3 linked regions of the Macaca mulatta genome follow. The protein of the gene in region 2 binds, or shares a complex with, the protein of the main gene of each other region. Links are inferred from orthologs where the notes say so. Each region holds a gene or a part of one and is shown on either strand. Other genes may lie near its edges. The genes, in order: CDH26, CTNND1 and CTNNA1.

Region 1 (3,651 bases), on a different chromosome or scaffold from region 2:
CCCCTACAGACCACTGACCTGCCAGAGCCACGAATGCTGCACAGACAGGGGACAGGGCCCCCACAAGAAGCCCCACTCCTGCATCTGCATGCTCCACACACGTGAACCCACTGGCACAGGGGCAGATCCTTACATGGACAGTTTGCTTCTGGGAAAGTCCCTGTTTGTCTCCAATGAAGAGTGGCACCAAGTAATTACCACGTGGCAGGCTTCTCAAGGTTAAAAGTTCAACTGACTGACCTGCAAAGGGAAAAAGAACATGGCATGCATCGACTCACTCATCTGCTCATCTGCTCAATGCACGCTTACTAAATGCCCTGCACAGGCCAAGCTCTGTATGAACGTAAGCCAACTGCAGAGTTAGAGGGAGGGGTCCCCAAGGGCACCCTCACTTCTGACACCAACTGCAAGTTCATGGATTCCCAAGACCACCCTCAGGTTCAACAATTCTCTAGAAAGACTCACAGAACACACTGAAAGTTGTTACAGCGATGGTGCCGTTTTTTACAAGGAAAAGATACAGATGAAAATCAGACAAGGAAAGAGGCACCTAGGGCAGAGTTCAGAAAAGCACCAATGTCAGAGCTTCTCATCATCCTCTCCTGAGAAGCCAGGTCAGCATCAGTGAGGGACAGCACACATGGGATGCTGCAGTCAGGGACGTTCACCTGAGCCTCAGGCTCCAGTGTCCTCCTGGGGCTTGGTCAGGAAACCTGGTGGGCCTCCCAGGTGGGTGGCCTCAGTCTCCAACCTCTCTGGTAGTCAACTGACACTATGTGACTAGAAGTCCCCAATCTAAATCACATTGCCCCTGTCTGGCTCAGCTCAAGACACCCAGGTAAAGAGACACCGGTATCAGACATGATATCCCAATAGAGATCACCCAGACCCCAAGGACAAAGACCAGACCTCTCTTTGGGCAAGGTGAAGTTCTTCACCATACACTCCAGGTCTGAGCTGAAACCGTGCCACAGTCTACAGATGCCATGGCTAGAGGCACAGAGGAGAGTGTTGACAGAGGGTGCCAGTTGCTTTTAACCTGCTCAGCAGGTTCATCTTCTGATAACAGTGCCCCAGTGTTTCTTTAGGGAAGCCCACACTTCCCAAATTCTCAGTATGAATCAGGAGAGGCTGAGCCCAGATCCCAACAAGGTCCAGGTGTGGGCTGGGAACCAGTCAATCAGCACGTCTGCCCTCCTAAGTCCCACCTACAGTGATTGACAGGGCAGCTGACCCAGGTCAAACTGTGACATCAATCCTGGAGCTTCCTGGGAAACACCCTTCTTGCCAGATGTTAGGATATGTCTCAGGGACTCCCAGCAGCCTCCTACCCCCTGATGAGGAGAGGTTCCTAAAAGTGAAGGAACCCAGAGAAAAGCAGACCGTGTGTGGGAAGGTGGCTTCCAGGGATATCCTTTGAGCACCTAGAGCCAGCTCTGCCAGAACAGACTTCTCTGGCTTTTTAAGCTAATAAAGTCCTTTTTTGCCTAAAACTGTTTCAATTGGATGTCTGTCATTTTCCACTCTTTGCCCGTGACCAGTACAAAAACTCACCCCAATTTTTCCCCAACTTCCATGTGTCCTCTGCGTTTCGCAGGGTGTTGTCCAATTCAAATGTAAATGGATCAGAGAAGGGCTCCAGGTCCGGATCCTCTGCCTCGATGTGGAGGGGCTGATGCACGGCAGACTCACAGACCTCCATGTAGCGGGAATGTGGCCGGAGAGTCGGGGCGTTGTCATTGATGTCAGACAGGAAGAGCATTAGGGTCCCTGTAGCAGTCTGCGGGGGGAAGCCTTGTACGGGGAGGAAGTTTCAGGAGTTGGTTATCTCGTGCACACAGAGCCCTGGAGAAGGAGCACTCTCCGTCTCTCAGAAAACAAATATTCCTGAAATACTAGAACTGTTTCCCTTTCAAATCAACTCTCCTGGCATGCATGTGATGATCTATTTTCCTGCTTTTATGAACATTCAGAATATCTGGGTAAGGTAAGCTAATAAAGCACTTACCACCTCAAATCATTTGTAGAACAAGGTAGAATGTGGCATCATTAAACAAACAAAAGGTCGATCAATGGTGCCAGGCGTTAAGGATGGGTGGGGTGGAGGAAAATGGGTGTGACTAAAGAAGGGCCCCATGGGGGTCCCTGAGGAGAGGCAAATGCGCTGCATCTCCGCGTTGATGTCCTGGTTACGAGATTACACTGTAGTCCTGCAAGGTGTTGCCCCTGGGGGAGACTGGCAAAGGATACGCAGGATCCACTAGATTATTTCTTAAAACTGCAAGTGAATCTACAATTATCTAAAAGGACTTTTTCTAATTTAAAAAGTGGCAATCATCAATTCACAACTGCAAATAGGAGCCAACCTAAGTGCCCATTGACCAATGAGTGGATAAAGACAATGTGGCATATGTATACTATGGAATACTACTCAGCCATAAAAAAGAATGAAATAATGTTTTTTTGCAGCAACTTGGATAGAGCTGGATGCCATTCTTCTAAGTGAATAACTCAGGAATAGAAAACCAAATACTGTATGTTCTCACTTGTAAGTGAGAGCTAAGCGAGTGATATAAGGAACTCTGGAGACTCAGAAGCAGGGGAGGAGGGAGCCAAGGGATAAGAAACCTCACACTGTATACAAAGTACACTACTCAGGTGACCGGTGCACTAAAATCTTAGACTTCACCACTGCATAATTCATCTACGTAACCAAAAACCACTTGTACCCCAAAAGCTTTTGAAATACGAAAAGCAAAAAATAAACAGAAAAAAAAAAGAGTACCCATTATAAAATCATCCATAACAGAATGAGGGAGCCCTGAAACACTGGCCCCACTTTTTCTCCTCCCTTAATACTGATTAGGAATCCGTGTTTCCTATCTCCATTGCCCCCCACCCCCAATATTCCACTAGTTAATTACAGAGTGGAACGTACAGCGACATATCACTTGGAGCTTGGGTTTTAGTTCACAGACTTTCTTAAATACAGTGTTAAAGTTATTTGAACATTTTTATTTCTTCAACTTTGTTTTGGTGTGTTTAAAGATTCAGCCTTAGGAGAGCATAGAGAAAAGTGCTGAAACATGCTCATAAAACCTCCCATCCTGGTTGATGACAAATGTGTCCCTTACTGTCCCATTTACCTGAGCTCGTATGCCATCCCAAGCACAGGGAAGCTGTGCTAAATATCACACACCATCGGCTTTGACAAAGAGCTAAAGAGTTAGCTCATGAACAGATGAAAAAGATGTTGGGTTTGATTGCAGCCTCCTTGCTGATTTAATTGTCTCCTCTGAATGAATACTGCCCTCTTTCGATGGTATTGGTCCCTTGTTTACCATTTCGAGAATTACTACCAAAAATAATCACCAGCATGGATGCAGAGTGATAACAAGGTTTATTTTATCCTTTTCTCAGCTGTGCTGAAAGACTCTCACCAGGATTACTTTCCCGCAGGAAGCAAGAATGAGCATTTTATTTTTCCAATTTTGGGTAAACACTCACCATCATCAACAGCGTGAACAATGATTATATAAAAACTGTCATTGACATGAGGGGATTCTCGGTCAATTGGCTCCACGGTGGTGACCACTCCGGAGTTTTCATCTACGCTGACCCAGTTTGCTGGGTCTTGAACCCGTTTATATC
Region 2 (3,651 bases):
TCAATAAATTCAATAAATTATAGGCATCTGCTGGACTACAAACACTGTACTAAATTTTGAGGTAATAGTTAGCATTCAACTCCTCACCAATTAATTCTTTGTTGCGAGCATCCACAGCCAGGTTTCTCAGTGCTCCAGACGCAGCTTTCACCACCCGTTCATGTTCATTAGTCAGGAGGTCAGCTATGGCAGAAAGAGCCTTCTCTTGACGCAGAGCAGAGCGGATATATCGACCATACTAGAATAGCACATAGAAAGGGGTAGAACAAATTACAAATGGCAGCAAACTAGTTATCTAAGTTTTCCCATCTCCAAATCCATTTTCTAAAAGGTACTTTACCGTCCAGCGCCCAGCACACAAATTCTGGATAGCTCCAGCTGAGGCTTCTAAGATGGCAGGAGTCTTGCTCTCCTTAAGAAGTGAGATGTATATCCGAACCACCTCTGGCTGAAATAAGAGCTCATAGCCTGCACAAAAGAGAAAAAGAAGGCAGAAGGTGCTAATCAGTACCAATAAACCAGGCTCTAGCTGGCTGGAGTTCAGCCTTAATACTCCCGATTGATGTTCTATACCATCAGGTTCCCTAAACTCTCTCACACTCTCTACAGCAAATTTAGAGGCCAAATTCCATGTCTTAAGAATAATGAGGCCAGGCGCAGTGGCTCAACACCTGTAATCCCAGCACTTAGGAGGCCAAGGCGGGCAGATCACGAGGTCAGGAGATTGAGACCATCCTAGCTAACACGGTGAAACCCCGTCTCTACTAAAAATACAAAAAATTAGCTGGGCGTGATGGCGGGCGCCTATAGTCCCAGCTACTCGGGAGGCTAAGAGCAGGAGAATGGCGTGAACCTGGGAGGCGGAGCTTGCAGTGAGCCGAGTTCACGCCACTGCACTCCAGCCAGAGTGAGACTCCGTCTCAAAAAAAAAAAAAAAGACTAATGAATCCATGGTAAGATTGGAACAAATATCAACTCATTATACTCAACTCCTCTCTTTCCTTCCTTCTTGCCTCCTCTCCCATAGCTTTGCCTTTGGTTCTACCATGAGCGCTCAGGGGCTCCATTTAGCTCATTGACAGCACTCAAGGTTAAAAATTCCTCATCTCAAATCAATTATTTCTAACTTAACCCAGTCATTCTTCCCATCTTTGCAATTACTACGACGGTCCATTACAGATTAAACGTTTATAATTTTTATATCCATGGAGAGCTGTGAACTTTGGACTCACTGTATTGATGAATATAAAGATCCAAATTTCTTATAGTAAAGTGTAAAAATTATCTTTTCTTTTCTTTTGGAGACGAGTCTCTGTCGCCCACGCTGGAGTGCAGTGGCGCGATCTCAACTCACTGCAACCTCCGCCTCCCGGGTTCAAGCGATTCTCCTGCCTCAGCCTCCAGAGTATCTGGGATTACAGGCACCCGCCACCATGCCCAGCTAATTTTTGCATTTTTAGTAGGGACAGGGTTTCACCATGTTGGCCAGGCTGGTCTCAAACGCCTGACCTCAGGTGACCTGCCCGCCTCAGCCTCACAAAGTGCTGGGATTACAGTCATGAGCTGCTGCCCCCAACCTAAAAAGTATCTTTCTTAGTAAAGGAGCTTCTTTTAAAAGTGAGGTTTAAGTCTCAGGCACTGTAGTGGTCATTTATGGTTCCCAAATTTCTGCTCTAGACTACCATCAGGACCTTATTCTATCCTCAAGTAACCTGAATAACTGCCTTAACAAGTAGTCCTTTGTAAGTTACTGCTGTAATACTATACAGCTTCCCAATACTTTCACAATCATTTCAGTCTGTAAGTTGGAAAAGAGAGGACAATAAACATATTACATAAAGTCTGCTGTTAAGTTACCAAATATCTTATCTTTGTACTATGTTTATGAGACCTTTGGAGACTGAGAAGATAACTTACCCCGAGCTGGACTCGTTCTTTTAGGGAAATCCACTGTGTCATTTGCTGGATCCTCTATGGGTTTTTTCCCTATAAAAACGAAAAAGGGCAGGAAAAGGGGTAAGTCAGTTTAAAATAGAAAAGATTCCACCTGGCACATTTTTCATTCTTCGGTCAGAACCTTTTGATCACAGATGCACCACGAGGGACAAAGGGCAGGTGGGGGCAACTTGTTCCAGCAGGGGACTATTCAGAAACAAGGATAGAAAACAGGCAGCAGATAGGTAAGATGAGGATGACCATTGTTGATGCTATTGTCCTGAGCTCTGATAATGGGGACTGCTGCCCAGAAACAGCATGCCATGAGCTATTAGCTCCAAAGAGCTAAACCTGTTTCAGTGTCTTCCTCAACTGAACTTTCCTACATGCATAGACAGGGAAAGGTTAGGCAAGGACATACTAGGGAAGCTAAAACCAAAACATGCAAATTAGAAGTAGATAAGCACCTTAAAAGACTCCACTCACCTCTGGAGAACCACTCATCTTCCAGTGCATCACCCAAGGCAGAAAGCAGAGAAGAGAAAAGAAATAAGAAAAATGCAGGAGAAAGATGTCAGCAGAATCATGGGCAAATAAGCAGGGAAGCACAGAGAAGAAAAGAAAAACACAGAAAATGCAAAGGACGTATGGGGAAGAAGGTCCCAGATTAGTTGAGTTCTCATTTTCCACTGCCCCACTCATTGATACCACCACCACCACCACCATCACCACCAACACACCACCACCATCACCCCACCACCAAACCTTGAATGAAGCACACAACACAGGAGAAGCAGCAAAGCAAAAAGACATCTGTAACCAGGCAGACTCCCATATTGCTTGCCAAGTATTTTGTATCTTAAGCTAAAGTGTTCCTTCCTTTCCCTGTCCCACATTAAAGAGTAAGAAACAGGAACCAAGACTCACCTTTGCCCTTCTTGGCCCCAAAGCAACTGGCAGCATGTGGCCCAGTATTGTTGGCAACATTGGGAGCTGCCTCTTGGTAACGCTCTGCCTGTGGGATCTCCCGGTGAACTTGATATGATAAGTTCCGAAGGAGGCAAACACAGTTTTCTACAAGCTTAGGTACACAAGATAAAAGGGCCAATGAGAAAAAAGAATGTTGTGATTTCTCCACAGGTTTCCATGACTCAGGTATTAAAATGTTGATATTCAAATGCATAACCCAATCCATAACTTCTCAGGATGCCTCTTAAGCGCTCCAGGCTTCTTGAAATCCCTGTAGCCTCAGGCTAATGGAAGGCCCAACTATGGACTTATTGGCTTCTGCCACTATTTGGTGTGTGACTGAAACTTGGATCATCATTCTTACTACTTAGACAATGTACAATTTTGGAAGACAGCTAAGCAGCTTTAAAATATATAGGTGACAGATTTTTAAAAAAAGAAAAAAAAGCTGGGCACAGTGACTCACACCTGTAATCCCAGCACTTTAGGAGGCTGAAGCAGGTGGATCACCTGAGGTCGGGAGTTCAAAACCAGCCTGGCCAACATGGTGAAACCCTGTCTCTACTAAAATACAAAAACTAGCTGGGCATGGTGGCAGGTGCCTATAATCCCAGCTACTCAGGGGCTGAAGCAGGAGAATCGCTTGAACCCAGGAGGGAGAGGTTGCAGTGAGCCGAGATCATGCCAATGTACTCCAGCCTGTGCGACAGAGCCAGACTCCATCTCTAAAAACAAACAAACGAACAA
Region 3 (3,651 bases), on a different chromosome or scaffold from region 2:
GAAAAAGGCATGCACAGATTCTTCCTAAGTCCCAACAAGGAATCAAGCCTGCCAACACCTCGATTTCAGATTTCTGCACTTCAGAATCATGAGAGAATAAATTTCTATTATTCTAAGCCACCAAGCTTGTCATAGTTTATGTTACAGAAGCCCTAGGAAACTAATATACCTGCTTAATTAGTACTGTGGAATTCTAATAATTTCATTTTCAGTATTAGAAATATTTATCTTCAGCCTGAAAACTGAAAAAATATTTACCACTGAAGGTTATTTGTTCACAAATTCAGAAAACAACTGGAGATGTCATCTCCATCTAAGACACTGCCCATTTTAGGGTACTGCCACAAGGATGAATTTGACATAAGACTCTGGACTATGCAATCTACCATCAGGTATGAAAGATCTATGAAGTTCTCCCAAGGGCTAGTAGAGCACCTGTAAATAGCAGGGCTCAATTTACCTTAGCTGATAGCCAATAACCTAAAAAACCTACAGCATTGTTGAAATTCTCTGACTGGAATAGAAACCTAACACAAAACCACAGGTTTCAAGGGTGGGGGCTGTGGCTCATGCCTGCAATCCCAGCACTTTGGGAGACCGAGGCAGGTGGATTGTTTGAGCTTGGGAGTTTGAGACCAGCATGAGCCACTGGTGAAACCCCATCTCTACTAAAAATAAAAACTGCAGGTTTCGAGAAGTTTACTTTCCATATTTAAAGTCTTCCTTCCACACTTGTAACACAGTAAGGACAATTTTTCTAGCATTAATTACTGGTAAACTGTGGATTACCATTTTACTTTTTATCAATTCTGAGTTTCCCAAAACATGATTCCTTTATGCCCAGATTTATTTAAGTCAAGCTCCAACCAGTGCAAATATGCATGGCTGATTTAACATACTAATCTGACATAACAGAACAATTTCTAGAGTATTTTCAGAGTAGGTATTTTTCTATTTTATCACACCCATCTCTTCAGCATGAATTAAAAAGTATTACATAGAATGAAAGGTAAACTTCTGTCCCACGTTTCCTATCAAATTGTGTTACAACATTTCTAAGACTTAACTATTACTTGAAACACCCAAGAGAAGTGGATTCAGATTCTCCAGATGTCCCTTTGCAAGCATCTCTCATGATTAAAATTTGAGCCAGTCCAACTTAATACATCTCCGATAACTAAGTTACTGAGCAATTGGCAAGCATGAGAATGAGAATTAAAATATGATCCAGTCCAAGTTAATACATCTCCAATAACTGAGTAAGTTACTGAGCAATTGGCAAGCATGAGAACTGAGAATACTGACCACAAAAAAAATCTCCTTCAAACACTTATTTTCTAGAAAGGCCTGCCTCTCTTTACATGAAAAGCAGTAATGACCTACCTTGTTTTCGAACATCTTCTACAGCAGCCACAAGCTCCTCCTTGAGAAACTGGCTCTCCTTCGCAATTTTATCCCCCTTCTCCAAGAAATTCTCAGTTGCTTGTTCAACAGATGCAGCCAAAACATGAGCCTTCTTAGAACGACCTCTCTTCTTATTAGAGGGCCCCTTACTATTGGTGTTTACCAGGGTTGTAACCTAAAAGTTTCATTTTTAACATTAAACTGGAGTCAATTAAAATGACTAATATCTTTAAAGATAGCAAGATTAAGTTATTCTTTAAAAAAATCACATTTATGAGATTCCACTGAGCATTAACATACAATTCCCCATATTTAAGATATACAGCAATGATACTATATTTAATTTCCAAAATAACTCAGCTTTCTCAATGTGTACAGAATTATTTAACACATATTTTAATTTCTCAAATATGATCATTAGGTTTTTAGTTTGATTTTACAAATTAAAAAATGATTAGAGACAAGCTAGATGTCTCTACTATATGTCACCCATATAGTATCTGGAACACTCTATGTTCCAGAAATAGGTTAACAATGAACTTAGCTTTATCTGGAGATCGTACTGCCACTGTTTTCAAACTTTGCAAAATGTTTTAAGATAATTTGCTTCTGAAGTCTTTTCACGGTTTATTCACACAAATCTCAGCAATTTATTAGTAAAGGCCCCTAATAAAGGAATGACTGCCCAAAGAAGCCTACAGTGATGATGCTTTATGTCCTAGAACATTACCATCATTAATACACATAATACCGGATGATCTGTAGGTTAAAGATGATTAAGATATGTTACAGTGCAAATTTGCCAAACAAGACTCATTTTCTCTCTCTCTCTGAATCTCTCACATACAGACAACAGACACACTATTGCAAAACACTAAAGGTACACAGCTAGTTGCTAACAGTTTATGAACTACCCTAACATTGTGACATTTATAACATAATATACCAAACCTAAACCCTCAAGTTCAATTACCTGCTAATTAATCCCACACAATGAAAGGTGTGTTAAGCAGAGTGAGACACCTTAACAATCAAGGATCCAGATCCCACCTTTCTTGGGTTTCCCCTCTAAAGAAAGGTGAAGTATCTGCAAAGCACAAACATTTGCAAAGTTGCACTACATACCACGGACCCCAGTTACTAGCAATAAGACCGAAGAAAATGACCACAGCAGCGTTCTCAAAGGGTTAAACAAACTCATGCATCAATATTCAAATCATCTAAGAACTGTCACCTAAACTCAAGTACTGGAATTAAGGCTTTGAACTAAATAACCTTGCTCTTATGGTTGTTACCCAGGCCTGTACTATAGAACCAGGTTACAATGTATTTGTGTTTTCAGATTCTTACCTGTGTAACAAGAGGCTCCAACAGTCTCTCAACTGCCAGAGTCCTGATCTCTAGACTTTTGGGATCCCACTTGAAGTTTATGTTGCCTGCCTGGACAGCAGTCATTTCTAAAAAAGAAACAAAAAATCAGTCAAGCAAACATCAAACACAAACATGAAATATGTAACAAATCTTCTCCTACTTAAATCTTCTCCTACTTTGGGACTTTTGCATCAGGAAAGTTACATTCACTACAGATGAAAAAATTCTAACTAGCCTGCACATGAGGACCCAGTAAACCTTACAATCTCTTAAAATTTAATCATTTCAGGCTTACAAATACTAGGGGTACTACAAGAGGGCATTCCCAAACACACAGAACGTTTCCCTTTGGGCTTCTCTAGCGCAAGACTTCCTACTTCAGTTCCTACTCAGTTTATCTGCCCAATCTTTTAGAAACAAGATGAAAAGCTAAAGTAAACCTTTTTTTTTTTTTTTTTTTCTTTTTCTTTTTTTTGAGACGGAGTCTCACTCTTTCGCCCAGGCTGGAGTGCAGTGGTGTGATCTCGGCTCACTGCAAGCTCCACCTGCCGGGTACACACCATTCTCCTGCCTCAGCCTCCCAAGTAGCTGGGACTACAGGCGCCCGCCACCACGCCCAGCTAATTTTTTTGCATTTTCAGTAGAGACAGGGTTTCACCATGTTAGCCATGATAGGATAGTCTCGATCTCCTGACTTCGTGATCCACCCGCCTTGGCCTCCCAAAGTGCTGGGATTACAGGTGTGAGCCACCACGCCCAGCCGAAAGCTACTTTCAAAGACATTGCTTCAAAAACGAATACAGAAGATCCTGATTTTTCCTACTCCACAACATTTATGGTATAGTAGTATCTAAAAGGTATGCCTCACTTCATTTT

The links.
Region 1: CTNND1 (region 2) and CDH26 share a complex: the UniProt entries of both Homo sapiens proteins name them as parts of the cadherin:catenin adhesion complex. The link is inferred for Macaca mulatta from reciprocal best matches to the Homo sapiens genes CTNND1 and CDH26.
Region 3: CTNND1 (region 2) and CTNNA1 share a complex: the UniProt entries of both Homo sapiens proteins name them as parts of the cadherin:catenin adhesion complex. The link is inferred for Macaca mulatta from reciprocal best matches to the Homo sapiens genes CTNND1 and CTNNA1.

Annotation. Positions count from the first base shown.
Region 1 is NC_133415.1:112,781,658-112,785,308, reverse strand, and holds part of CDH26 (cadherin-like protein 26), read right to left. Parts: intron 3,651-3,651; coding exon 3,508-3,650; intron 1,795-3,507; coding exon 1,555-1,794; intron 241-1,554; coding exon 19-240; intron 1-18. UniProt on the Homo sapiens protein: Cadherins are calcium-dependent cell adhesion proteins. They preferentially interact with themselves in a homophilic manner in connecting cells; cadherins may thus contribute to the sorting of heterogeneous cell types.
Region 2 is NC_133419.1:15,586,427-15,590,077, forward strand, and holds part of CTNND1 (catenin delta-1), read right to left. Parts: intron 3,017-3,651; coding exon 2,863-3,016; intron 1,987-2,862; coding exon 1,918-1,986; intron 469-1,917; coding exon 341-468; intron 239-340; coding exon 88-238; intron 1-87. UniProt on the Homo sapiens protein: Key regulator of cell-cell adhesion that associates with and regulates the cell adhesion properties of both C-, E- and N-cadherins, being critical for their surface stability.
Region 3 is NC_133411.1:147,648,343-147,651,993, reverse strand, and holds part of CTNNA1 (catenin alpha-1), read right to left. Parts: intron 2,862-3,651; 5' UTR 2,860-2,861; coding exon 2,755-2,859; exon of another isoform or gene 2,700-2,754; intron 1,606-2,699; exon of another isoform or gene 1,580-1,605; coding exon 1,384-1,579; exon of another isoform or gene 1,362-1,383; intron 1-1,361. UniProt on the Homo sapiens protein: Associates with the cytoplasmic domain of a variety of cadherins. The association of catenins to cadherins produces a complex which is linked to the actin filament network, and which seems to be of primary importance for cadherins cell-adhesion properties.